4 linked regions of the Lytechinus pictus genome follow. The protein of the gene in region 4 binds, or shares a complex with, the protein of the main gene of each other region. Links are inferred from orthologs where the notes say so. Each region holds a gene or a part of one and is shown on either strand. Other genes may lie near its edges.

Region 1 (7,167 bases), on a different chromosome or scaffold from region 4:
GATTCAAATCACGATATCGTTTATTCGAACATTTTCGTACGTGATTCTGCAGAAACGTCTTTCCAAACGCCCCTTTTTTCGTGTTTCATGTTTGTGATTCTAATCATGATTATATTCAATTTCGACTAAACGCAATCGTGATTCTGCAGAATTATGATTTGAATCATGATTCAGATCATGATTCTAGGGTAAAAAAGTGGCGGATAAACGCACCCTTACAATACATAATCGTGAAATATCTCTAAATAATGTCTTAAGGTCAGGAACATCATAAAAGTTAGTACGAATATGTGCAAAATCAGCACATTCAATGAGGATGTGTTTAACTGTAAGTGTTTTGTTCAGGCGAGAAAAAATATCAATTTACTGGGATGATCATACGATAGCTTTCCCATAAAATCATTGGTTGGTAGAAGTATCTTATTACTATACAAAGTGATGATATTTACCTTCTGGTTTTTTAGATCCTGGACCGATCACCTCCCTGACTTCTTTGTCACTGATGGTGTCATACCAGAACTGTACAAATTTTCTTCTCGTTTTCTCCACCCAGTCTTCTTCGTATAGCTTCCTCAAACTTCCAGGTCCTGAGAAAAAAATGAAACTCGTATCTTAACCCTAACTAGGCCGGGCTTTTTTGGCTGTTCTGTGGCCGGGGGGGGGGTTGATTCAACCCCCCCCTGAGATCTCGGCCACCGATCGCGCGAGCGCCACAAAAATTTGCACGCTGGTAGCGTGCGATGTAATCTACAAGGCTGTATGGTAAAATTTTCCAAAATAATGAGATTTTATTTTATATTAATTAATTATGCTAATTTATGCATAAATCATACTTTTTGCTCTAATTCACTAAATAAAGCTCCTAGAATGCTAATTTTTGGTAAAAATATTCTTTGTAGCATTCTTAACAATGGCAATTGAAAAAAACTTTGGTTTGGAAATCAATTTTTTATGTATTTTATTGTTTTATGAATTTCTTATGTATTTCTTTGTTTTTCAACCTTTTGTTTTTCTTTGTTTTTTTCACCAGATTTATTGCACAACCTTTTTGAAGCATACTTATGCTTAAGTCAATTGCTTTCAGCTGTTTAAAGTAAAAATAATCATATCTTTATGAATAAGATGAGAAAACTCAATTTGCATTGACTTTGTACACAAAATCACGTTTTGGAACAATTTTTGGTCTGACATGCACTTACAAAATGTTGCGTAATTTCGGAACCGCGTACCCGGGCGTCGTAAATTTGGTCTCAAAAGATGCGCGAGACTTAAAAGTATAAACTCTGCGAGTGGCGTGGTCAAAAAATTTCGCGCGGCGGAATGATCGCAGAAAATGTTGAGGGGGGGGTTGATTCAACCCCCCCCCCCGGCCATTTTAGGGTTAAAAGACCCAAATAAAAACTTGCTTTTAGAGGAAAAAGTAAAATCAGACAATTTGATAGGTGAAAGTTTGAACAATATCGGACAAACAATAGGAAAGTTATGAATTTTAAAAAGTTGTGAATATTGGTAATCACTATACCTGTGGAGATTTCAAATTGGCAACAAATGTGATGTCAAAGTGATGTAAGGCAAGGACTACTCTTCCATGTACTCCAATACATAAAATGACTAAAATTGATTTTTTTTTTCAAATGTTTTACCTCAAATTATATTTTTCTTTCATGAGGACATAAAACAATATACTACCTAGGCTATATTTAGATTACAGCCCCAGGGGAATAGGTACTTGGGAGAAAACCACAAATCCCTGATAATAAAGTACATGGCCTATGGGAAAGTTGTCCTTGCCTCTTGTCATAATTTACTTACCCAGCTGCCAATTTGAAATCTACATAGTCTTAGAGATCTCAATTTTAAAACAGCCATAACTTTCTTATTGCTTGTCCGATTTCTTTCAAACTTTCACCATTCTGTTTTATTTATTTTTCTCCTTTCAAACACAACATATTATGACCAGGACTGGATTCTCCTTTAAGGAGGCCAGGGTCCCGTGTCACAAACGATAGCGAGTGATTTTCACAAACAATTGTACATTGTGGTCTATGCAATCAATTCTCCCCAAATCACTTTATAAAACACTTCCCAGGGCCAGGGGCCATCTAACACAAAGCATAGTGCTTAATCATAGGAATTTTTTCTGCTTCATTACAATCAATCAACCATCTAAATCATCTATATGATAAATCGGTTAACTTCCAATTGATCCAATGCCACTTCGTCCAATTCTCAACTCGTCTACCATCATTTGGCTACAATTAGTTTGTCCAATATCCACATGGTCTAGTTTCCATTCCATCCACTCGCCATTTCTTTTAATAGCCACTTGGTCTAATAGCCATTTAGTCCATATACCATCTGGTCTAATTGGACTAAGTGTTAATTGGGTGAAATAAATGAAAATAAAATGGGTAGCAGACCAACTGGTTAGGAGACGAAATAGTCATAGAGGAATTGGTGATTAGACGAAGCGATGATTGGACCAAATGGTTATTAGACCAAATGGCTGTTGACGAAATGTTGATGGAAGGAATGGCATTAGACTATATGAAGATAGACCGTGTGATGAGTGGACGAGTTGGCAATAGATAAATTACTAAGCTTTGTGATATGGGTCTTGGAATAAACTTTTCTTTCACTAAAACCATTTAAAAGAAAAAAGAATCCCTGAAATATCAGGAGATCATCTCTAATACCTTCATAGAAGATGCCTGCATGTGCGAGCAGTAGGTCAATGAACATGGGTGCTTTCTCCAAGTGGATGACGTGCTTGCCTTCGTTGGAGAGCAGCGTGCAGATGTTGATGGCGAAGTCCACTTCGTTGGGGAGACCAGATTGGAGAGAATGGAGTATTCGGTCGTACTCTGACGTCCTGCATTTCTCCTTGGCAAAGCCATGTGTCTGTCTGATTTTGTCTGCATAAGAAGATATCATTTTCACAATGACAGTTTCTCAAACCAACTTGCTTTGAATTACAGTACATTTGCTATCAATTGAAAGTGTCTTTACATTGATTCAAATAATTTAAGACAGTTAAAAATGATCAAAAATAAAATAAAAACCTAAGACTTTTTAAGATGAAATAACCCCTTTACTACTGTATCACAACCCTGTCAGAAAAGGATGAAAATAAATAGTGAGATGAGAAAAACGTATACTGAAGGTTAAAACTAGAAGTTGTTGCAGGAATAATAAGCATATTATACATAGCAAAGAGTACCAGAGGCCGTTCTCATTACGCTTTCTAAAACTAGCTTACTGGAAACCGATTCAGGAAACCACTTTGGAAGATCGCTTTGCTAGCGTTCCCACTTGATCACACGAAAGTGGCTTTCAAAATCACTTTACGTAAAGCGCTCTTGTTGCTATGAAAACGCTCTCAGAGGGGTGACATGTTTCGCGCGAAATTTGAAACCGCAGCATTGGCATTCTACACCTGTCGTGTGGAGTAGCGCGCTCAAAATGTGCGAAGATCGCTTCCCGAAGAATGGTTGTGTCCTCACTTACGCTAAAACCAGTTTAACGAGGCAAAGCGATCTTGAAAACTACATCGCGAGGTGGTTTTCCAAACCGGTTTGGAAGATCGCTTCGACCGTTCTCACTACGCGTTAAACTAGTTTCCACTAAACTAGTTTTAGGAACGTAGTGTGAACAGCCTCCCAGTTAAGGGATGTTGAGGGGCTTGTATTGTAAAAAAACAGTAACAATTTTATATTCATAACCTCTGTACAGCAGGAACATTAATTTATAGATTTCAACAAAAAAATAATTCCTTCTTTTTATCAAATCACACCTTTTTTTTGTCTGGCATTTCCTAGAACCTTCACTTAAAGGGATGGTCCGGGCTGAAAGTATTTATAGCTTAATAAATAGAGTAGAATTCACTGAGCAAAATGCCGAAAATTTCATCAAAATCGGATAACAGATAACAAAGTTATTGAATTTCAAAGTTTCGCAATATTTTGTGAAAACAGTCGTCATGAATATTCATTAGGTCGGCCGACGTCACATCCCCACTTGTTCTTTTGTATGTCATTATATGAAATTAGGTTTATTCAATTTTTTTCCTCCAAGAACTAGAAAAATTGGATTGACAACTGATTTAGTGCATTAGATATTTATTGCTGCAACTTATTTCATTATAAGGGAGACATATTATTCACACAAGTATGAAATAATGAAAAAAAAATGATTTTATGTAATAACATAAGAAAACGGAAAGTGGAGATGTGACATCATTAGCCCACCTAATGAATATTCATGACGACTGTTTTCACAAGATATTGCTAAAATTAAAACTTCAATAACTTTATTTTTTCTTATCCGTTTTTGATGAAATTTTTTGGAATTTTGCTCAGTGAATTCTACTCAATGTATTAAGATACAAATATTTTCAGCCCGGACCATCCCTTTAATTCCTTTACAACTCCTATTTCAAACAATACAACATAGCAAATTTCCCTTTAAGAGGGTACTTTGAAATGAACATGTGTAGTTATTAACTTGTATTGCAAGCTGCCGGAATGCTAATCAACATATGAATGGAAATATCAAAATTCGCTTCATGGTCAGCAATAAAACCAATAGATTGGAAGTTCCCTCCGTGATATAAGATACCATCTGATCTGTAATTTCCTTCCTGTCATGTAAATTGGCAAGAAGTAGCTAGCATCAACACACTCTACCATACAACTTACTATGCTATTAGCAAATGACTATTGTTTTATGTTGCTATTTTTACAATCAATATCACTTGTGAACCTTTTCAATATTAATAATGGAGAAAGAGAGGTCTTTGGAAAGACACCTTGAATATTCGAAATGCATGTTTCCACAAGTTTTACGGGATTGGAAAATGTTGCACCTTCATACACTCATACCCCTTTCATAAACCTATCCTCCAATTAGCCGCCTAATAGTAATGCGGATAATTCAATAAAAATTGCGTTCACAAACTCTGAAAATTATCCGCATTATTTTTACGAGCGTCCGTCCTGAAAAAGGCGGATAATCGTCATGACACGCCCCCTCCGATGCGGTTGTGTTGGAAAAGGGTGACCTTGTGACCGCACCATGGCAATTATCCGCATTATTTGGAAATACATTCATAAACTCAAAATCTTGTCCCGATGCCGCTATTATGCGGATAATAGCAGCATCAGAATAATGCGGATAACTCTGGTCCTCCTCCGATTTTACGACCAAATTATGCTGCTATTAGCCGCATAATTGGGTTTATGAAAGGGGTATTACATGTAATCTGACTTTTTATAGAGGACAAGGATGATAACTGCATGTGCAATATTAGTATGGAGAAAACTGTAAGATTGACCAAAATCATTGTCCACTTTCATATCATTTTTACATGTATACATTTTGGGAAAATCTAATTTATCATATGCTCACAAATTCCAGCTATGGTCCAAAATTGATGAAATGGAACCAAACTTGTACATTCTTAATCTTAAGCACATGCAGTTCTATTTGATGTGCATATGCCTCTACTTCTTAATATCTTTTGTGATTCCTCATCTTGAGAAGCATACAGTATTGCTCGGAATAAAGTTGACGCTTTACCGCCCTGTACCGCGTAAGTCGATGTGAAATCGGGTCGCGCGCGATTACCACCAGCAAATTTCCATCGGCGGGAGTCGCGCTCTGAGAGAAATTACCACGGTAATGTACCACGAGATTTTTAAATGAAAATCTCGTGTATTACCGCGATAATACCGCAGAAGGAGGGACGATCTTCTGTCGAAGAGATATTGATTTGATAATTAATAAAATGTCACCATTTGGACAACTCTCATGGCTCGAATTAGCCCTGCTGACTTGCCGCGATGTCTCTCTCGAAATTACGATGTACAGCATGCAACAACTTATTGCCGTAAGATGCCGTCTCCTCGAAACCCAAACAAAAAAAGATCATAGAGCTGTTGAGCTTGGCGCGAGTGCACAATTTTAATGCACGCTCGTGTCATCGCCCTCAAATTTACATCTTTCTGAACTTCGTTGAATGAAAGTCGGGTCGAGATGAGATCACGTACTTTCTGGGATAAGTAGTTAATAGTTATAAGAAAATGGAGCATCCAAGATAAGAATGGACAGAGTCGAGCAAGAGAAGGAGAGAGCGAAAGATACGAGAGACAGATGGAGGGGGAAATGATCAAGAGAGAGAGAGCAAAAGAAAATGGAGAGAAAGGGGGGCGGGGTGGCTAGATTAAGCAAGAGACGCCGAGGCTGGAAAAAACAGACCTATTGTTTATTTCCTTACATTCCTTTATCGTCATTCTCTTACTTTGTTTGCAACCAGAATGATTTAATTTCATCATATTTTCAGTGCATTATTGCCAAACATTCTTCCGCCATTATGATATAAGGAATGATAAACTCCTTTTTTTCTCCCACCACTCGATCCAGTCACACAAACACAGGACGTACAGGGCTTAATTTGATTGCAACACGAATGTCCTTGACTCATGCTTAATTACAATCAGTGTTCTTTTCCCTTGTTTCCTCATATTTTATTTTTTATCGTTTTTGATGTTGATATATTTCCATTTGACCCATGTCTCACTCTTGAATTTCTACTCTATCGCTATCTCAGCTCACTTCTCCCTCGATCCCTACCCTTTTTTTCTACTCCATTCTTCTCAATCCTTTTGAATCCCTTTTTTTTGTGTGTATGTGTTTTTTTGTTTGTTATGCGACGCTCAATCTGGTGTTTATGAATTAACAAAGAAAAAAAAATTTAAGTGTCAATTTATTGTCACCCGATTGTCATAACCATATATCTTTATCAATTTTTATTAAAGGAGAATGAAACTCTTGGAGCAAGTTAGCTTTTGTGAAAGCAGAAAAATCAAAGAATAAGATCAACAAAAGTTTGAGTAAAATAGGACTAGCAATAGAAGAGTTATGAGCATTTGAATGTCGAGATCACTAATGCTATGGAGATCCTCCCATTGGCAATGCGACCAAGATCTATGATGTCACAGATGAACAACTCTCCCCTTTTGGACACTGAAAATATACCCCAAAACATCTCTTTTTGCTCATTCTAATCATATGACAAACGATTCATCAATGATATAATGTTGTGAAACCTCTGTACTTGTCCTCTCATAAAGAGAACACCTCACCTTGTGATAGACTCTATAAAAGTGA
Region 2 (7,814 bases), about 34 Mb from region 4:
AATAAAAGATATTTGATTAACGGAAAAACATCCATCACTAATTCATAGGAACTCTGGAAAAGATTTGAACGAGGTTTTTATCAACGGTAATCAAGAGGAATTAGTGTATGGATGAATGGCGTTCGAGCGTTAGCCGGTGAGGGCGCGGGCCAAATCTGGCAGTATGGCGTCGTCCATTAAGCTGACGTTAGCCAGCGGCGACTGCACGTACGTGGAAAATGTCGGGACCCCCGCAATTCGCGAAAATTTCTGTACGCGAAAATAACAGCTTGTACAGTACTGAAAACTGTCACAGAATATCGGATCAAGAATCAAGGATGTATGACAAAATGTATTCTTGAATAATGTATAAACACATTACTCAGTTTCTTTATTTTTTTCTCATACCTCTCAGAGCCTTTTTACCTAATGAAAATCTAACAATGGGATATAAGAATGGAGACCTTGAGAATTTTTGTGAATTTTTTGTTGCACAATAGCACAAAATTAATATTTATCCAGTTTAATAATAACCACATCAATTTTGAAAAGTTCTGCAATATGGTCTGTAGTATAAATGTGGTACAACATAAATACAGCTGAAACACATGAGCACAAACAAGTTGCATCGGGCTTTGTGTGGGAAGCAGGGTTTTAAAACTTGTTTTAGCCGTGTATGCAATCACCCTAATATAAGGAAAAAACAAAATAAACAAGTTGTCAAATTCTTAAATCATCCAGAAAGGGAAGTTCTGACATCTCATTTAACAAACTCTCATCTAGTTTTCAGTAAAATGTAAATATCTTACCTCATAGTAAGCCTGTGCATTATTAACCATGAGCTCAACATCAGCCACCATTTCATCCACTGTGTCGTATTCTTCTGTTTTCATACGCTGCTGAATCTTCAGCATATCAATGGGGTTAGAAACCACTTCATAATATTCTGGTGTAGTCCTGTCAAAATAGACATATGAAATGCTCATCCACCTCATAAAAATGTTGATTTGAATCAAAAGAAAAAAATTAGACAAGCATAATGCTGAAAATTTCATCAAAATCGGATGTAAAATAAGAAAGTTATGACATTTCAAAGTTTGGCTTATTTTTCACAAAATAGTTATATGCAAAATTTAGTCACATGCAAATGAGAAAATCGATGATGTCCCTCACTCACTATTTCTTGTTTTTTATTGTTTGAATTATACAATATTTCAATTTTTATAGATTTGACAATAAGGACCAACTCGACAGAACCATATAACGTTAAACATTGGTAATTCCACATGTTCAGTGAGAAATAAAACTTTGTTTCACAGGACAAAGAGGAGAAAATAAGAATACACGTATTTCATATTTCTTATAATAAAATACAAAAGAAAAAGTGAGTGAGTGCTGTCATCAGTTCCCTCATTCATCTTAAAGTTGTTCTAGTTTCAATCCAAGAGAACTTCACACAAATGTCTTATTCATGGTAACGCTATTATGAATTATCTTTAAAAAACAGGCCATATACTGTTATACAACTTGAGACACTTCAAAATCAAACAATTAAATAAGCTCTTCTACACCGAAACAACTGTTCATGTCAATAGACAGTCAACATTAAAATGAGGATTTTTCAAAGAAATTAAATGTAACCTTTTCTTATAAAGCAATGTAGTTAATTTGCAGATATGTTCACCGCTTTCACTAAAAGATAGAACCAGTGATATAATAAATTTAATATCAGGAACTCATTATATTTACCTCCTTTTGGGAATTCTGATAAGAGCTTCACATATAACTCTACCATCTTCATTCTTGTAGTTTCTGATGATGTCATATAACTCCTGAATTACTTCACCCTGTATTTTAAAAAAAAAAATCAAATATATAAATTTTTCACGCTGTAATTTCGCATTTGTAGGATGAATAATATAAATTCCTTTATAATCATACTTTTGTTTGTCTGTTTTAAATGTATTGTATAATTGTTCACCATCTTTTTTCTATGTTTTCGCATCCTATGTGTGTTTCATATGTTTGTAATGCTGGTGGAAAGCACATTTCCATGAAATTGGACTACATTAAATATGAACTTATAAAGGAGAACCTCACTATAAACCATAAATTTAAGGATATTCATATTAAGTTTACAAGCTGTACAGCAAGCTTGAATGACATTAAAAAAGGAACACTTCCTGAGTATTTAAAGCAAACTTTGGGTGAGAAAAAATCAAGTTTGTTCTTATGTCAAATTTCCTTGACTGCCATCAGAAAAGGCATTTGGCTATGCGACACTTCCCAGTACGGTACTCTATATAAAGGGTGGAAGGACTGAAAAAAATATATTCCCATCTTGATATTTTAAGGAAGATATTCTTTCGGGAAAAACATTGAAAAGGAGGAAAAAGGTGAGACTGCAAACAGCTGGACTGCAAGTGTGTCATTAAATGAATATGTGACATGAGAATTGGGACTATTACCTGTATTCTGGTCTAAGTTGTGGTTTAACTATGGATAGACAAATGTGACATAAACAGTAGAGGTTCAAATTATTAGCTCATTTTACTCTCAAAACATTCTTAACAGAGAGGGTAAATAGCATAGTTGCCTTCACCATTAAAGAATTAAGAGAGAACATGGTAAACATGAGAAAAATACAATGTAAACAATATTTTTGGCTTCCCATAATATTACTACAGGGTTGGACCATGGTCTAAGTAAAACTCTACTTCAGAATACGGGCTTATGAGTCTAGATAGCCACGGACATCTCTTCCACTTTTGGAAACAAACAATTAAATATTCATCAAATTGTTATTGTTAACAAAGAAACAAATAAACTAAATAAAGAATATCCGTACCTCCATGAAGCTTTGACAGATCATACTTCAAGATGAAATCATATACTTACAGCATCATTGACATTGACGGACCTCTTTCTTCTTTTGATAGCAACAGACGTTGGAGAAGTGTGGAGATCATCATCATCTTTAACATCAGTAGTGGTTGACCTTCTTCGCTTTGACATACTTCTTAAGATATATTCTTCTTTGTTTCATGTAAGACAAAACAAAAGAAATATTGAAAGATCAAAACACAGAGGATCCTGATTACCAATAAAAATTTTGAGCATAAACAAATTTACAACAAAATTTTGAAAAAGTTCCAGGACTAAGATTTATAATTAACAACGAAGAACAGTGAAGAGCAAATATGGAAATGCACCTTCATTAACATTTCAAAGTTCAAGGTGTATTTTTCCACATTTCCATAAAAACGTAAAAACAATTTACAATATAAGCACATATCAAATCACAACAAATATAATGTATACAAAGGAAGGATGAACAAAAGACAAACAGAGAATACCAAATACATTTTTAAAGAAGAGTGTCGCTGGGGCTTAGCGAGCACATAATATATATATATATATATATATATATATATGCAGTATAATTATTAAATCAATTAATCAAATAAAAACACATTTTTATGATGTAGTTGATCTAGTAGGCCTAAAAAATATCAAAGTCAAACTCTATTAAACATTTAATTTTCTGGTGTAAATAATTTATTTGTATCTGCGGAGAGAAAAAGAAAACACTAATCTGAATGAAATCATGATGAAGATTATTATTTATAAAAGCCTTATAAAACATGTATTCTTGACAATCGATTGATATATTACCATCTAAAAATATAGAACTTAAAATAAAGTAATAAAATCTACGGCAAAGTTTATGTGTTTCTTGATGATCATTAGGGCATTTTCACCACAGATGGACACAGAGGCAAAAAAATCAAATTGATATTCATGTCAAATGAATTATGTTTTATAATAATACAAGACCTGAAGTTTCTGGGACAATTTTTTTTTCCGACTCTGGCAGCCATTTTTTATTTCAAAATGGCCGCCAAAGTATGCATACAAATTAGTGTTGAAAATGGTATATTGATACATATTTTGTTTTGACAGATTTTTAAAGAACAGGTTTGATCATGTTTTCCCTTTGCCTTAGCTTGCTATTATAACACTTTATCAAATCCCATCTAGAAAGAAACACCAGTAATTAATTTGTCTGATAAAGAAATATTGATGAAGTATGTGATAGGGTATGTAACGTCAGTTACCAAAAACATGATTTTTTTTCTCATTTCCCAGAAAAGAGGATATATTATATGAAACTTGGTAGATTTCCTCCTTAGGTAACACCCCTCCCTTCTACACCAAAATTAAAGATAATCAATTAACAATCAAGCCATAGGATGATAGGGTACCATTAAATATGTGTAACGTCAGTTACCAAGTGGAAAATGTAACGTCAGTTACCAAGTGGAAAATGTAATGTCAGTTACCGAGATGTAATGTCAGTTACCATGATAAAATGTTGGTTACCAATAGTGAAATGCAAATGTGGTCAATTTTATGTGAAGAAATATTGTATACATGTACTTGTTATTTAAGTCTTTCACTTAGTTTAAATCACACCAGAAGGAGCTTGCTATTGACTTTTAAAAGGTACAGTGTAGTTCACAAGGAATACTAAATAAAATTATGAAGGAAGTTGCATTCCCATTGTGCAAAAAAATACACTGAAATTGTTTTGCATACGTACATGTACTTACTAAGTATATAATTGTTTTTTTTTTTTGAGGGGGAGGGGGTACTTTTCCGAACCTATTAGCTTAATATAGCACTGATAAATGTTAATGTGTAATGTCAGTTACCAACAAGTAATAATAAAAATGTTCAAGTCAAAGAAAAGGAATCATTGAAATGTTCCTAAAAACTCAGGTATACTTCCACATCAAGCTCACTTTCATGTGAAGCCCTGCACAGAAGATACAATGCAATGATTCCACACATTTGACTTCCATGTGTTATCTCTATGGCAAATTAAGTGTAGGCTAACGTCAGTTACCAGCATGGTCGTGGAAAAATTATCATAGCCCTAAAAAGACAAAAACAAATTATTCTATATTTTGACATATCTTAACCTAGTAACAGAGGTATATTTACATATTCAAATTATTACTCTATCTACTCAGGGACACGGGATATTTCAATTTTACTGAACACCCTGAAATTGCATGTATTTTTTGCGTAACGTCAGTTACCGACACATTTTTGCTTGCTGATGCGTAAAAAAATGTGGTTACACAGAAAAACTTAGTATCAGAGTATAAAGCAAGGTTCACTTTATTGACTCTATCAAAAGCAAACTCCCATCAATTGTTGTTTTGGAGATACACACAATGAAAGGTGTGAAAAATTGTGCCATGTAACATCAGTTAGAGTGAAAATGCCCAATAGCTTATTTTGCTTCCGGGACTTTCCTCCACCTCGCTGGCATACTGGGCTGAGAGTGCAAGACAGTCCGCAGTCTGTGCATACGAAGAGCATTTTGCTCAGTCACAGCTGCACAGCTCAGAATCACCCACAGACAGTGCACAAAAATTAAAAAAAAATTGCACTTGTCTTCATGATATTCTTACAGTAATTGACAGCACATCTATCTCAGCCACCCATGATTAAGAAGAAAAGTGATATTAGATTCTGGAACAAATATGACGAGGCGTTTACTGGAAGTTAGCAAAATGTTATCTGCGGGCATCGATCGTAGTTTGATACAAGATGGAAATCATACACTGAAATCATACACAATAGCGGCGCTAATGCCCCCTTTTCGATCCCGCGATACTTTGCGTGAATCTATTTGCGATAAGGTCTATTGAAATTATTTTCTGACGCGTGTGATGCTCGTGTTCGGTAATCATAATAAGCTAGGTCTATCAAGTAGTCAATCACTAAGGTTAGGCCCATACAATTATGTTGATTAAAGCTGATTTTGTATGAACTGTGAGGATTTTTTTATTGAAGATCAACTTCCAAAAAGGTCTTCATGATATCATGATAATGCGGGGTCCATCTGGCTTTCCCCCATTGGGTGATAGTCAACAGTCAAAAAAGTAAATGACTTTCCATACAAATGTGATTGTAAATATGTTAGTTATTGTAAATGTGTCAGTATTGTAAATGCATTGGTGCTTATATTCAGTCAATCCGTTGTGAGGTGTTCCCAGCAACACGTTAGAGCTAATGTAAGAATTCAAGATACAAAAGATGTTCCAGAATCGTTATTGCCACCCCTAAATACAGTTGATTGATGACACAAGTTTACTTGAAAATCCAACTCATGATACACTCTTAAGTACACAATCAATTGATGATAAACTCTCACTCTCAGAAAATACCAGAAATATTCTAAGACAGGGTGCGACATAAGCGCTTGCCCGATTGCCCGGGGGAAGTAAAAGTTAGAGTCGGGCAAGTGTTTTGAAGTAAAGACAAAAACTACTTGCCCGAATCGGGCAAGCAAAATTTTCACTGTGAAATGAAATTTTACAAAGTTTCCCCATACTTCACACTCAAAAATACAGAAGAGAGAGAGAAAAAAAACAAAGTTAACAACCTCCCTCAATTCAAATTGCAAGCCAGTTTGCGACATTTTTTGTGATCTACACACAAAAACACACACACAGTCAGCATACATACATGTGGCTGGTGCGTCCAGCTCAGATTCCAGCCTATGTGGCAGGCATGCATGGATCTCCATGCTGCTGTGCATACCTGTACTATCCCCGATCAAACTCCGAATCAAAGTGACCAAGCTCACATGAAAAATAGTTTTTCCAACAAAATAATCACAAAATCGGCGAAAAATTGTTATACTTATATGGATTCTCAGATTACTGATTTGGTGATGTGATCGGAGGAGCAAGTTATTGAGTTTTCATAACCAGTTTCGGCCGTTGTTTTGAGTGTTTTGATCGGTGTAGTGGGAAGAAAGATGCGTGCAAATCCACGATGCCGCGATGATTCATTTGATTTTTAAGTTTGTCAATGTTTCTCTGTGAAATGTTTTTAATTTCTAAAACTTTTATTTTTCCAACAATTTTTAAAATATATTTCAAACAAATATCAGCAAGATTTTTGTTAGATGATTGCATTTTTTGTTTTGTTTCAAATTTGAGCTTTCTTCCTCTTTCTTTCTTTTTCTTCCTTCCTTCCTTCCTTAATCCTTACTTCCTTTCTTTCTTTCTTTCTTTCTTTTTCTTTTCTTTCTTTCTTTTCTATCCTTTCTTCTATCTTTCCCGATTGCCTTTTTTTGTTCCATCTATCTTTTCAATCTTTCCTAGCTTTCTTTCCTGATCTTTTTTTTTTCTCTCTCTGTTCATTATTCTTTGTTTCCTTTGTTTTCTTACATGTACTTTCCTTCTTTCTTTAAATTTCTTCATTTTTTCTTTCCTCTAATTTTTCTTTGCTTCCTTTTCCCTTCCTCTCCTTTTTCTTTTTGTTCTGTCTTTTCCTTCTGCCATTATTTTCTTCTTTTTTTAATTCTCTCTTCACTTCATTCTTTCCTTCCACTAAAGTTTTATCCTTTTTTAAATTCTTTATTTTCTTCTTTCCTTCTCTTTTTCCTTATTCTTTCTTTCCTTTTTTGCTATTTCCTTCCTTCCTGAAATTCCCCTTTCTTTCTTTCTTTATTTTCTTTTCTTTCTTTCAAAAAATGCAGGAAATCTTTTTTCTTCATTCTCTCATTCTTCCCTTTTTCTTACTTTCTTTTCCCTCCGGCTTTTTTATTTCTTTCCATTCTTTTCTTTCCCTTTTTCTTTATTAATTTCAAAGAATGAAGGAAACCTTTTTTTTTCTTTCCTTTATTCTTTCTTTCTTCTCCATTCATCTCTTTTCTTTCCATTTTTTCTCTCTCTCCTTCACCCATTCGTTCACATTCCCTCTTTCTTTCTTTCTTTCTTTCTTTTTTCCTTCCTTCCTTCCTTCCTTTC
Region 3 (6,829 bases), about 10 Mb from region 4:
CAGATTTACAATACTCATACACACAGACATAAAAATTAAAACATATAATTGATTTGACATATGTATATTTTTTTAGATACATGTTCACTTCAATTCCTCACTGTTATTTACCACCCCCCCCCCCAAAAAAAAAAAGGTAAATCAATTTTAATAAGAATTCATTTGGAAGCTTTTAAACTCAATCTGCGAAGTTTTGAAACAGGTCACATCTGTCACATGGTCCAAGGGGACCGTTTTATTAATTATGAATGATCAAGGTAACTTTGGTATAATGAGGATGCAAATTAAGCCAAGAAGTGGCCATTCCAGGCCATGGATTTCAACTACTACCATGGAAACCTTCATATATTTTAGCTGCTGAGTCCTGTTACTCTGAAAATACTGATGATCATTGTGTTATGTGATATCTCACATATTCATTGATATATCAATACCTACATATACATGTATGTAATTAATACTTAATCAATTCTTCTGCAGGAAGTATAACAGGAAACTATATGTTTACCAATTCCAACTTTCTTTAGAAAGTATTACTCATTTTTCTTCTAGCTAAACCTCTGATGCACACTCATTTTATGGGTTTCTTATTTACTACATTCCCCCTTCTCACTAAATTGTCCACTCCCCCAATTCAGAATCAAGTTATAACATACAGATTATTATTTAAGGCTGTCCAACAACTGTCTGGCTATAGTCTTGATTTGACTGTGATAAAAAAGGTTCACTTGAGAACTCCAGTCAGATTGGTTTTGAGTTACAAAAGACTTTATGTTTTATACCAAATCAGCTTAGTCTTCTTAGGCGTCGAAATAGCCCAGTCTATTTAGGGTTAATAAGTACATACGAACTGTACATCTCATCTTCCTTCATCTTCATTATAAGGGGGTGTTGCAAGAAAATATTTGCGATCACTTGCAAATATTCTGTTCTAATTTTACAATTGATAGATCAAGTTTAGCTGTAGCAAATCAGATTACACTCTTTTTTTCAGGAAGCAGATTAGCATAGCAATCAATCACAAACTTGTAATTAATTGCAAGACTTATGATTGATTGGGGACCAAAAATTGAATTGCAATTGATCACAAGTTTCTTGCAACACCTCATAAGACTGGTTGAAAGCCAAAGTGCCATTGATCTGACAAATTCATAAAAATAGATTTCTTTTTTAAAAAGGACCCTGGTGTACATACATGTACATTAAAATTTATCTGTAAAAACCTAATTACACACTTGCAAGAAAGATGATTTTCATGCCAAACACTTACAGGATTGAAGGGATGTATTCATAAACCCTCCCATACTCCTTCTGGAAGCTCCAGACATCTTGATTGTTCTAACCACCTATGAAAAAAAAATATAACAGGATCTATGATCATTCATATTTACCAATCAATGGTTAGCACAATTACATATAGGCCTGTGTAATGCCAGAAGAAAGCGAATTTTGAAGACAAACAGATCAGGATCAGCCAGGTTCTTCTTTGATCGCTCGATCACCATCAGCACAGCTGATGACAAGGACATGAGCAAGCAATAACCGTAAGTAACGGTCTATTAACCGCACCTTTTTCTCGGCGGGATAGAAGCAAAAGTCGGGGGTGCGGTTTATCCACGGTGACGGGTCTGAGCCAGCCCGTCGTAACCCCTCTGCCAGTTCACAACACATCGAGTGGCCAGGCGTAGCCGCCCAGGGCAATGTCGTTTAGAGGGGAATGAGCTGTGGGTAATGAGAAGCGATTATAACAAACGCACCCACCTTCATGACACTAATTTCGAATTTATTCTCGGTTCAAAGCAGCGAAGTTCCCTGGCTAAGTTCAAAGAGAAGCCAAGCATACTCGGTAATATTTTGTCACAGCTGATCGAGCGCAAGAGTTGAGTTAGCTGAGCTAGCTTGCATTGTATTGTGGTTTCAGTGCGACTTAAGCTGGCGCTATTCATTTTAACCCTCGATCCCCTCCAAAGTCCCGTTTCGCGCCAGCTTATTTTTTCTTTCCTGTTTGCTTTTCATAAGATACCACCTACACCACGCAACGAGAGAGACGGCACGAAGCCGTCAAAACAACTGTAAAAAATGACAATTTCTTTGTTTCTTGAACCTTCCTGTAATCCCGTATCCAAAATTCATGCCAAGACATCGAATACTAGACAAATTCTGAAAGTGATTGTGAGTTTGTGATGCAAGAAATGTGAATGTTTCTTCCTCCTACGGCGGGAAAGACACAGATCATTATTTGATAAGATGTACTGACACTGGTACCGTATCGTAGTTTGCAATGTACAAGAACGGCAGTGCTGTGTGTGTGTACACCGTGACTGTGTAAGTGGCCAATATTGTAGGGACCTTTCTTTCTTGCAAACATTTGTAGATGAATCAATCAAGAACAGCAGATTTCTGCATACCGGTAATCTCTTTGGATACTTTGAAATCTTTAACTTAGACTTAGTTTTTGTTTCTTCGTACCTCAAATATAATGTGAGGATTTTTTTTTTTTTTTTTTCTTTTTAGTCCAAAGTAGTTGGGGGTGCGGTTTATAGTCCGTTACTTACGGTACTGGTGGGGAAATTTGTTGTTTGAAAGTGGCCGGTGCGAAACTGCATCAGCGCCAGCATGCCATGGCGACCTTCCTTGCACGTTATTTACTAATCGCCGAGCCCGCGACGCAGGGCGCTTTGAACTTCCACGTCTGCATGCGACGCTATGCGGGAAGTGCTGGGGACCAAAGCGGCGACGCGATGCCTTGCTGAACAAAGAAAGCAAAATGGCACAGTAGAAAAAGATTTGTTATTTATAATTTTCATTTTTTACATCATCACACAATAAAATCAAAACAATTTTAGGTTTGCTTAACAATGAATAGAATTACACATATACTTACCTACAGCAAGAACAATATGTTTTCTCCCAAATGTGGAAAAAAAAGAAGTCTTTTACGGCAAGTTTAGTTTTTTCCGGCAGATTCTTCCCCGATGTAGTCTAATTTTCAGACGGCAATTTAGTTTTATTTTCCAAGAAGATCGGAGGATCAAAACAGAGAGGGGGGGGGGGGTTCTTCTTTTTATTTGGCAATCAGTCAATTTGACTATTTTCGCCATCATAAATATTGTATTATTAACGTTATTTTCTTTGATTTTTTTTTTTATAAAGTAATATTCAAATATTTCTTTCTTATTCTTTTTTTTTCTTTTTCTCTTCTTTTTCTTTTCTATTTATTTTTATTATTATTTTTTTTTTATTTTTAGGTTATCTACAAGGATTTAAAGTCGAGAAGGTGTGTCTCAAAAATTAAAACCAGGGCTTTTACTGAAAATATGTTAGATATATAGGTCTACTAGTATGCAAGTAAACCTATAGGATGGAGATGACAGAGAAAAGAAATGAAGAAAATCACAGCTCCAATCCTACACTCGTATACCGGAGTATATAAGCTGTTTCAACTTATCTTTTGGTTTACAGTCCTTTTCAGGACTACATTCAAGAAAGATTACTCTACTCTCAAATTTCCACTTTCTCGCCTATCCATTTCTTTTCTTTTTTCTTTTTTCTTTTTATTTTTTCTTCTTCTATCCACTGTTTCTATAATACTCCACATGGTGTACCGTACGTAAACCACATCAGCGAATATTAATTCTATATAACAAACTACTTAAATTGCCATTTCATGACAATTTATCAAAATTATGGCTCGCGATTTGCGCTCGTATTGATTGTTGAAAATAATTTTATTCACACATGCATCTTATTCATAATTACAAAAGTGCATTAAATGTACAGTTTTCAGGCCATAATATTAACAGATTTCACGCTCTCATTAGGCTTATTAGATTAATAAATAAGATTAATATAATATTAATAATCAAATTAATTGTCCCTTTTTCAGAATGGAATATCGAAAAGTGTCATCTCGCGCTTAGGAGGGAAATAGGAAGGTAGTTATCATTCACATGATGACAGTAATGTTCTCAGAATGTCCCGGTCTTATGTCAAAACTCAAATGATAACAATGAAACACATCAGCTCTTATTTAAAGGAGAATGAAACTCTTGGAGCAAGTTAGCTTTTGTGAAAGCAGCAAAATCAAAGAATAAGATCAACAAAACTTTGAGTAAAATAGGACTAGCAATAAAAGAGTTATGAGCATTTGAATGTCGAGATCACTAATGCTATGGAGATCCTCCCATTGGCAATGCGACCAAGATCTGTGATGTCACACACGTACAACTCTCCCATTTGGACACTGAAAATATACCCCAAAACATCTCTTTTTGCTCATTCTAATCATATGACAAACGATTCATCAATGATATAATGTTGTGAAACCTCTGTACTTGTCATCTCATAAAGAAAACACCTCACCTTGTGATAGACTCTATAAAAGTGAGAATATAAGTGAAATAAGTACTAAAGTAATGAGGGAGTTGTACGTGTGTGATATCACAGATCTTGGTCGCATTGCCGTTGGGAGGATCTACATGGCACTAGTGATCTCAATATTCGAATGCTCATAACTTTCTTATTATTCATTCAATCTTCCTCAAACTTTCAACAATATGTTTCTTTGATTTTTCTCTTTGATATGGATTCAGCTGGTTTCAAGGGTTTCATTCTCCTTTAACAGTGATCCATATCCACCTCACCATTTTTCTACAAAGTGCTTGAAATACAGAGCTTAAATTGACCCTTTTTCAGATCGGAATATCAAATATTTTAAGCTCGCGCTTCGCGCTCGCTTTACTCATCCTTTTCATGATTTACAAAACATGAATAGAGTGTCCCATTTTTAGGTGTAAATGTCTTTTTTTTTTTTTGGTTGAGTTATATACTTATTCTTTTCATGATTACAAAATGTGCTTAGAATTTTTATTCTTCAGGTAGAAAATGTCAAAATTTTCAGCTCGCGCTTCGCGTTCGCATTATTTGATTGTTGAAACAATATTATTATGTAACGTCTTCATAGCTAACTGCAAGCAGCTGTTAACAGATTTTTTTTATCAGATCAAAACGTATATTAATTATTTAGTTGGATACACATCTCGTTTAGGATAAAAAAAAACATAGCCCAGAATGTTTTAATTTTAGGACAAAATATATGAAATGAAAAATAATTTAAAAAAATAGCTCGTGCTTCGCGCTCGCTCTTTTTTAAAAGGTTTATGAGATTATTATATATATATACGTTGATTTATAAGATTAAAGCTTGTGTGACTTTTAGGACTATATACCCCTTCAAAGAAACAAACAAAAATCAACTTCGAGCGGCCGATCGGGGAAAATGTGGCTGAAAAAAATTCCGCCCCCCAATTGGCGAAGGCTGGATCCACCCCTGATACGTCTCAAATAGCCCAGTCCTTTTAGGGTTAAGGGTGTTGTGATAAATTTATGATCAACCGTGACTAGTTTTGTTGTTAAGCAAATTTCATGAGTGAACACAAATTGCACTTAATTTGGGGCAGCATTTCAACTTTATCACGTGGATCTCAGCAATGTGATCATGAGAGTCGGGAGAATATAGGGGATGAGATAGGACTCGAGTGGGAGAAGAGGTTGATGGAAGGGTCAACAGAACATTTAGCCCCCCCCCCTCCCTCTCTCCCGCCCTCACCTCCTGTTGAGAGACTGATTGCTATTACATGTACGCATGAAGTCCAGAGCAGGATGTTGACTTGATGATAAATTCTGAATTGGGGAATCAACCTTACCTATCAATCATTAATTTTTAATCAACAATTAATTAATAAATCAACTCATTCAATGTGCGATGTGATCAACCAAACATTCATTTTTTTTCAATAAATTATTTCATAAATCATCATAATCAGTCAATATCTTGGTAATCATTGGTGAGAGAATGAAAGGAAGTGAGGTACGTTCAACTGAATAGGGACATCATTATCTAAGAATTATGAGTCGCATCTAATATGTTTTGAAGTCGGAAGTAGAAGGGTGGTTAATAGAGACAATAACAGCAAGTTAAGACAGTTCAAGGAAATACAAAGATGTTATCCTTACAATGAGTAAATTAATTAGCACTAATTGGATCATACGTGATCTACAATGCAAAGAGTGAGCAACAGTGGACCGACATGACACTTGATTGATTGATTGATTGATAACGAATTTATTTCATTCCACTTCATTCTCATTCTGAATTTCCAATTTCCCCAATATGATTGTTGGACATCCAGAGATAATTATTTGCTATAAATTTTCCTGGCATTATTATGCTGTTCAGGTTGGCGTAAGGACTGATTCCACTTCCCTTTTCCCCGGGCCTTTTCCTTATACTTCACCCCCCTCTCTTCCTCTTTATCTATATTCCCCTCTCACCTTTTTCCTCTCTACTTCCTAACCTATACCATATACCCTTTCTTTTCCATCAGCCCTTGCTTCCTCATTCTCCCCATCGTAATCTCTTTTCGTTCCAACATTATTTTATCATCATCATCCGTACAGTCCACCAGGTTGGTGTATCATCGTACCGTGTAGAATTAAAAAAAAAAAAAAAAAAATCAGCGCAGTCTTAGCGCAATTGGATTTTCTGCACCTCAGCCTTGAAGCTATAGCTACCGAAGTGCAGTTAACTGTAATGGCAGGGAGAATATTCCACAGTCTAATGGCATCAGGAATAAAAGTTTTCTGATAAGTAACAGTGCGAGCATGTGGGACGTGTAACCTCATCTGATGACCACGAAGCGAAGTGGTCATCAGAAGCATTTATGTATGCCAGACTGTAATATATCATATAATTTGCCGAAGAAAATCACACCTTTTATATATATAAAATATAAATTCAAGATTTAGGTCTTCTTATAAATATATACAT
Region 4 (7,096 bases):
CAAAAAACAGATATGTCATGAATCTTTATCAATTTTGAGATTATTTGATAACATATCATACAACACAGTCAGTAGAGGCGCACGGCCAATATAGGAGACTGTCTCCTATGAGAGAGATTCTCTAAATAAAAATGTGATAAGCAGATTCCTCATGAAAAATTACCCATTTTCACCGTCTACTTTAAAAATTCACCGTCTACTTTTGTTTTGATAAGGATTTTTGTTGTCATCCACACACAAAACAAATGGGCTTCTGACCTCAGTGAGACAAAATTCTGGGTGGAAAAAATTACGCTTTTGTTGGTGTCGTTTCTTTTGTTCTTTTACAAAGCAAGTCTCCCATATTGGAGAGTCTCCCGGCATTGGCCGTGCGCCTCTACTGACAGTATGCTCCGGGAACAAGCATGTACACATAAAATATTATACATCATATTGATATGATTATGTTTCCACCTCAAAACTGTTTGCCGATCTTTATGAATCTTTTGAGACTAAATATAAGGAATGTGATTTTCTATTTACTGGTAAATAAAAATGGAAAATTTGTCTTGGTTCTTTATTTGTCATGAGAAAATTCAATATATTTACACAATGTACCTTGGCTACAAAATGCTTTGCATGTTTTCTACAGTATAATGAAACAGAATTTCCCTTAGAGATTAACTCATCTGTTCATTAAGCAGTAGAAGTGCACGGCCAATATGGAAGACTGTCTCCCATGAGAGAGATTATCTCCAATATCAGAGACTTTTGTAAAGAATTTGGGTATCCAATTTCAGAGACAGTCTCCAGTTTGGGAGACCAATTTCCTTTGTTTACATTTGCTGCAAAAGGATTACCTTGGCGGCAAATAAAAATGTGATAAGCAGATTCCTCATGAAAAATTACCCCTTTTCACCGTCTACTTTAAAAATTCACCATCTACTTTTGTTTTGATAAGGATTTTTGTTGTCATCAACACACAAAACAAATGGGCTTCTGACCTCAGCGAGACAAAATTTTTGATGGAAAAAAATATGCTTTTGTTGGTGTTGTTTCTTTTGTTCTTTTGTAAAGCAAGTTTCCAATATGGGAGATTGTCTCCCCTATTGGATAGAGTCTCCCATATTGGCCGTGCGCCTCTACTGTTAAGTTTGAAACGGAATTACAAATTTTCAGAAACAGAAAAGATCATTAAAAAAAACAGAACACTGTAACTACCATTATTATGTCTATTATTACATATTATTCCAGGGCACTCTGTCTTTTCGAAGACCATGTTACACCCTAAATTTTATTATCAATCATGTTTCCATCTCAAAATCTTCATTCATTTCTGCCGACAACTGACAAGTATACTAGTACTACTCAAGTACTATTATTACATTCGCTCCATCCAAATAATATGTCAACATCTTCTTTAGACCAAAAGCTTCAGTCTCTGTATTTTGGTTGTTCCGCTGAACTACGTTGGCTCCACTCACCATACATAGACTGAAGGGGATGGGGCCCCGTACCTACAGCCAACGTATAGTGAACTAGCGTTTTATAGATCGCGATTTAAAACTGTTTTTTAAGCAAAATTGAAAGTTTCATGGTTTCCATTATCAGGGAAATATAAAAAACTTAAGTAATTGCATACCTTGGGCCGGAGTTATTGAAAAAAATCCTCTGGATGATTGAGAAATCTGTCATCTAAGACATTTTCACCTGACCTGACGGTTTTTCTTGCAAGTTGCCATCTTGAATGACGTCATTATCGTTATTAACTTAATGTCTCGAATCGATATATCGCGATTATAACTAGTACTAGTACTAGTATAAGTAGTATCGTTTATCTTCGGTTTCGTTCGCATATGGAGCAGATCGTATAATATCGAAAGCAATATCGATATCACATTCGTGATTGTTGACGTTCGTTTGTAAATATTTTATAGTGTGGCTGCCATTTTGACCATTTTTATCGTGTTCAACCCAATTAAACATCGGTAAAGTATATTTTTCATGCCTTTTTCATCTATATCGTTTAAAGTATTTAAACATTTAAATATCAACTTTTAAAAGTTTGTTGTTTATACATCCTTAGATTGTAAATTCGATGTGTAAAATTACATCAAACTTTGGACTGTGAATTGACAAAAGGGAGGGAATGAGAACACATGCGAGCCCACACGTACACCCTACCGTCGGTAAATGGGGATTACAGTAAAATGTCAGAAATTGTTGAATAAATCCCCAGAAACGACGGTTATTCCTGTCTACATCTTCTTGTGCACACAGCTGCCAACAAATTCCCTTTTTTTTTTTTATCAATGTCAGATCTATTCTAGCCTGTTAACAGAAAATTAACAATATCTTTTTTTGCTGATTCAATTTTGATTGTTTGAAATTGAATCACTGACTTGTGACTTTGTCTTTGTGTTGAATTTGAACTGCGGAATCTAACTATATTTTTCACATTAAATAAAAGACAGAGACACAACATAGGAATAGATGAGAGAATGAATTACAATTCCTCTTGATACATTTAGCTGAAAATGACCGCAAATGTCAGCTATGTTGGAAAACTCGCCATAAAATAAAGACTCGGTCTCGGGTTCAGCTTAGCCTTACTAGGGCTCCAGGCAAGCCCAGGCACAGGCCTTGGCTCCGGGGCGCTGCCGCCATGGCCGCGGCGCGGCGAAGCAAGTAGAATTCGCAGCCGCACACGAATTATCTCAGACTCGGAAAAGGTACGGTAGTTTGATCGAGCATTATATTGACTGTAATATGACAATTTCTGGCCCCTAAACAATACTCACCCTCTTGCAATTTCTTTGAAGCCATGATTTCACATTATCAAGCTGGGAAGCAATGTCAGCGGACTCAAAAAACTTGAAATCAGCACCACCGTCCTTCTTTCGGATAGCCATCTTTTGTCTTTCTCGTCTTTTGTACACCCGCAATAATTGAACGAAACTGTCGTTCATTTTTGAGCGGCATGGAGCTGGTGGTCAAGTTTTGCGTTGCCAATTTTATTACTAACAGGTATTTTAAAATGATTGCTGCTCGCATGCCAGTAAATCAAAAAAGTAAAATAACAAAGGATAGCCTTATTCTTAATTGTAACAGAGAAAAATTTATTACATTCAAACATGACAAATCTTCAATGTAGATCTTCATAAAAGTTGAGGAACTCGGTAGGCCTATAGCAAGAAAAATGTGGAGCAGATCGGCCCCGAGATCGGCCTACTGAAAAGACAATTGTCAGCATAGGCGGATCCAGGGGGGGGGGGGGGGCCCAAGGGGCCCGGCCCCCCCCCTATTGGCGGAGCAAAAAAAAAGGAAAGAAAGAAAAAACAGGGGGAAAAGGAGGGAAAAGAGGAGAAAAAGAAGAGGATTAAGATGAGTTGATAAAATAAGATGAGGGGAAGACTTAATTGGAAAAAGCTTTCATGTCACTCATGGTATAAAAATTTCGCTCGCGCTTCGCGCTCGCATTGCCTGTTAGGTGATTTTCATATCTTGTTCAATATGAAGTTTAAAAATCAAGTTTGGAAGTCAATATACAAAACATATTTCACCTCGGAAATCGAACTTTCATTATTTTGTGTGATTTACAAATTGTTTTTAAAAAGTGCTTTGTAAAGATGTCAGTTTTATGGTCTAAAATATTAACATTTTCTGCTCGTGCTGCGCGCTCGCAAATTTTGATTTATCAGGTACCTATTATTTTTGTGTATTCCATTAAATTTTCAAAATATTCTTTTCAGGTCTGAAAGTCAAAACGTATCAGCTAGCGCTGCACGCTCGCATTTTGATCGGCGAGTTATGTATATGTCGCAATATTGATTATACAACAAACTATACTTTAAATCCCCTTTTCATGACAGTTCATCAAAAACTTTGGCTCGCGATTTGTGCTCGCATTAATGGTTAAAATATATTAACTTGATGCATCTTATTTATAATTACACAAGTGCTTGAAATGTCCAGTTTTCAGGCCATAATATCATCAGATTTTGCGTCCTCAGGCGTTAATGAATAAGACATTAATTTAATGATTAAATTGTCCATTTTGTTTCATCTCGCACTTAGCAAGAGGAATAGGAAGACAGTTATCATTTTGATATGCATTTCCTAAGGATGTCCCGGTCCTATGTTAAAACTCAAAGTAATAATAATTAAAATATCAGCTCTTTATTAAGTGCGATCCATATCCACCTCACAATTTTCCTACAAAGTGCTTGAAATATAGAGCTGAAATTGACTGTTTTTTCAGATCGGAATATTAAATAGTTTAAACTCGCGCTTCGCGCTCGCTTTGATTTTCATAATAAAAGATGTATTAAGAATGCCTAGATTCAATATCTAAATATGAAACACGCGCGCGTATTCAGATAGTCAACTTGTTCTCTATTTAAATCATTATCCAGTTTCAGATCACCGTAAATATCAAAAATTTTCTGCTCACGCTTTGTGCTCGCATTATTAATGTAGGTAGACCCCTACTCATTCTTTCATGATTTACAAAACATGAATAGTGTCCCGTTTGTAGGTCTAAATCTCGATTTTTCCGCACGCGCTTCGCGTTCACATCAATTGTTTAATTATAATCCTGTTCACGATTACAAAAATTGATTAAAATGTTACATTCTTTATGTAGAAAAGTAAAAAATTTTCAGCTCGCGCTTCGCTCTCGCATTATTTGATTGTTGAAATATGTAACGTCTTCATGCCTAAGTGCAAGCAGTCCTTAACAGGTACATTTTCGATCTGTTCAAAACGTATATAAAAAAATTCTGCTCGCGCTCTGCGCTCGCATTATTAATGTAAGGAAGATCCCCACTTGCATCCTTTTCATGATTTACAAAACCTGAATAGAGTGTCATGTTCAGTAGGTTTAAATCTCGAATTTTTCCGCTCGCGCTTCGCGTTCGCATCATTATTGTTTACTTATATACCTATTCTGTTTAAGTTACAAAAAGTGCTTCCATTTCTTAGGTAAATTTGTCATAAAATTTCAGCTTGCGCTTCGCGCTCGCATTATTTGATTTTTAAAATATGTAGCGTCTTCATGGCTAACTGCAATATTTAACAATACCTTTTCCATCAGTTCGTTTCTGCTCGCGCTTCACGGTCGTAGTAATTTTTCATTTGCATACACATCTTTTTCAGGATAACAAACATTGCCCAGAATGTTCAAGAACTTAGAAAAAAAACCCACAATATTTCCCCCAAAAAATAGCTCGCGCTTCGCGCTCGCATTGTATAAATAAGGATTATGGTATTATATATTTATGTTTATTCATAAGAATAAAGCTAAGAAGTGACTATTAGGACTACCCCTTCAAAGAAACAAAAAAATCCCGGCAAAAATCATCTTCGAGCGGCCGATCGGGGAAAATATTGCTGGAAAAAATCCGGCCCCCCCCCCTATTGGCGAAGGCTGGATCCGTCTCTGGTCAGGTTATGTTCCCCAATGTGCCAAGCCTCTAGCACTAGTAATCTAGTATATTCAAATTCTCATTAAAACATAAACTATAACCCCCTTTACAAAAATTGAAACTCAGTTGTACATAAAAATAAACACACGTACGGAACACGGCGCAATTGTGAGAGCCAGCATAGAGACCATTATGTCTATATAGTGAAGGCTCTCATATCATGGACCTATAGGTCCATGCTCATATCAAACTCCAGCAGGGGCCAGTAGGCCTATATTCAGATGTTCGAGAAGATTCATACAAGGATGTTTAGCCAAGGCAAAGTGATATGAATTATGAATTAACTTATCCGGGGGACTTATAAAAGGGATGGCCCGGGCTGAAATATTTATATCTTAATACATAGAGTAGAATTCACTGAGCAAAATGCCGAAAATTCCATCAAAAACGGATCACAAATAATAAAGTTATTGAAGTTTAAAGTTTACCAATATTTTGTGAAAATAGTCGTCATGAATATTCATTAGGTGGGCCGATGATGTCCCACTTTCTTATGTTATTACATAAAATCATAATTTTTTCATTATTTCATACTTGTGTGAATAACTTCTCCTTATAATGAAATAAGTTTCATCAATAAATATTTTATGCACTAAGTCAGTTGTCAATCCAATTTTTCTAGTTCTTGGAGGAAAAAAATTGAATAAACCTAATTTCATATAATAAAATACAAAAGAACAAGTTGGGATGTGACATCATCAGCCCACCTAATGAATATTCATGACGACTGTTTTCACAAAATATTGCTAAACTTTAAAATTCAATAACTTTGTTATTTGTTATCCGATTTTGATGAAATTTTCGGCATTTTGCTAAGTGATCTTCTACTCTATTTATTAAGTTATAACCACTTTCAGCCCAGACCATCCCTTTAAGTACGAAATCTAAAATAGTTGTGAAATATAGGGAGGATCAGCAAGCCATGCACGAAGCCAAAAGATAAAAAACAGCAATAAAATTTGAAATGAATGGTGAAATCAAGATAGGGCCTACTTTCTTTAGTGGAGGAAGTTAAAATTCATGGTGATAATTTACTAATGGAAGACGAAATGACAAACATGACTGGTTATATAATCGAAATGAGAAGTAATATTTTCTCCCTTTTATTTTCTGAAGACTTGTATTTTATTTTTGCACTTGTCTCCACTTTAAGTATGAGCCTTATTTTTTCTTCCAATGGACATTTATTTACTCGCTAAAAAGGACTATTTCAAATAGGGCCTATTGACAGAAAGAGTTCATCTAATTCCTATACTTTTTTCATCTCTCCACTCATTTGTGTATTTCTTCTTTTCCGCAAGCGGACCGTATATTAATTTTCACGGTTTGTTTATTTGTTTTTATTTCTGCATAAATTGATAGTCGTAATTACAAAACGAGGTTGTACATTTCGTTAAGGGAAGTCCACTCCAACAAATAAAAATCAACACTGAACATCATCTAAATCGGATGTAATGAAATTTTTGAGGAGGGTTATTTAAATAAAATATATATCGGATTTCCTTTATATTGCACCGTGAGGCGTGAGCAAAGAAATGAAGTGTCTTTTTTTTTTTTGCTGTTTCTGTTGGCAAACGCGGGGACTGGGGGCGGGGCAACCGCAGAACCCTGCCTGAACCCTTCCTTCCTTC

The links.
Region 1: SWI/SNF complex subunit SMARCC2-like (region 4) and AT-rich interactive domain-containing protein 2-like share a complex: the UniProt entries of both Homo sapiens proteins name them as parts of the SWI/SNF-B (PBAF) chromatin remodeling complex. The link is inferred for Lytechinus pictus from reciprocal best matches to the Homo sapiens genes SMARCC2 and ARID2.
Region 2: SWI/SNF complex subunit SMARCC2-like (region 4) and protein polybromo-1-like share a complex: the UniProt entries of both Homo sapiens proteins name them as parts of the SWI/SNF-B (PBAF) chromatin remodeling complex. The link is inferred for Lytechinus pictus from reciprocal best matches to the Homo sapiens genes SMARCC2 and PBRM1.
Region 3: SWI/SNF complex subunit SMARCC2-like (region 4) and SWI/SNF-related matrix-associated actin-dependent regulator of chromatin subfamily E member 1-like share a complex: the UniProt entries of both Homo sapiens proteins name them as parts of the BAF complex. The link is inferred for Lytechinus pictus from reciprocal best matches to the Homo sapiens genes SMARCC2 and SMARCE1.

Annotation. Positions count from the first base shown.
Region 1 is NC_087263.1:4,093,158-4,100,324, forward strand, and holds the start of AT-rich interactive domain-containing protein 2-like, read right to left. Parts: upstream 3,016-7,167; 5' UTR 2,935-3,015; coding exon 2,697-2,934; intron 588-2,696; coding exon 450-587; intron 1-449. UniProt on the Homo sapiens protein: Involved in transcriptional activation and repression of select genes by chromatin remodeling (alteration of DNA-nucleosome topology). Required for the stability of the SWI/SNF chromatin remodeling complex SWI/SNF-B (PBAF).
Region 2 is NC_087247.1:59,697,040-59,704,853, forward strand, and holds the start of protein polybromo-1-like, read right to left. Parts: upstream 3,011-7,814; 5' UTR 2,995-3,010; coding exon 2,878-2,994; intron 1,827-2,877; coding exon 1,729-1,826; intron 937-1,728; coding exon 789-936; intron 1-788. UniProt on the Homo sapiens protein: Involved in transcriptional activation and repression of select genes by chromatin remodeling (alteration of DNA-nucleosome topology). Required for the stability of the SWI/SNF chromatin remodeling complex SWI/SNF-B (PBAF).
Region 3 is NC_087247.1:14,971,988-14,978,816, reverse strand, and holds the start of SWI/SNF-related matrix-associated actin-dependent regulator of chromatin subfamily E member 1-like, read right to left. Parts: upstream 3,010-6,829; 5' UTR 2,885-3,009; intron 1,347-2,884; 5' UTR 1,329-1,346; coding exon 1,271-1,328; intron 1-1,270. UniProt on the Homo sapiens protein: Involved in transcriptional activation and repression of select genes by chromatin remodeling (alteration of DNA-nucleosome topology).
Region 4 is NC_087247.1:25,345,081-25,352,176, forward strand, and holds the start of SWI/SNF complex subunit SMARCC2-like, read right to left. Parts: upstream 3,002-7,096; 5' UTR 2,949-3,001; coding exon 2,781-2,948; intron 1-2,780. UniProt on the Homo sapiens protein: Involved in transcriptional activation and repression of select genes by chromatin remodeling (alteration of DNA-nucleosome topology).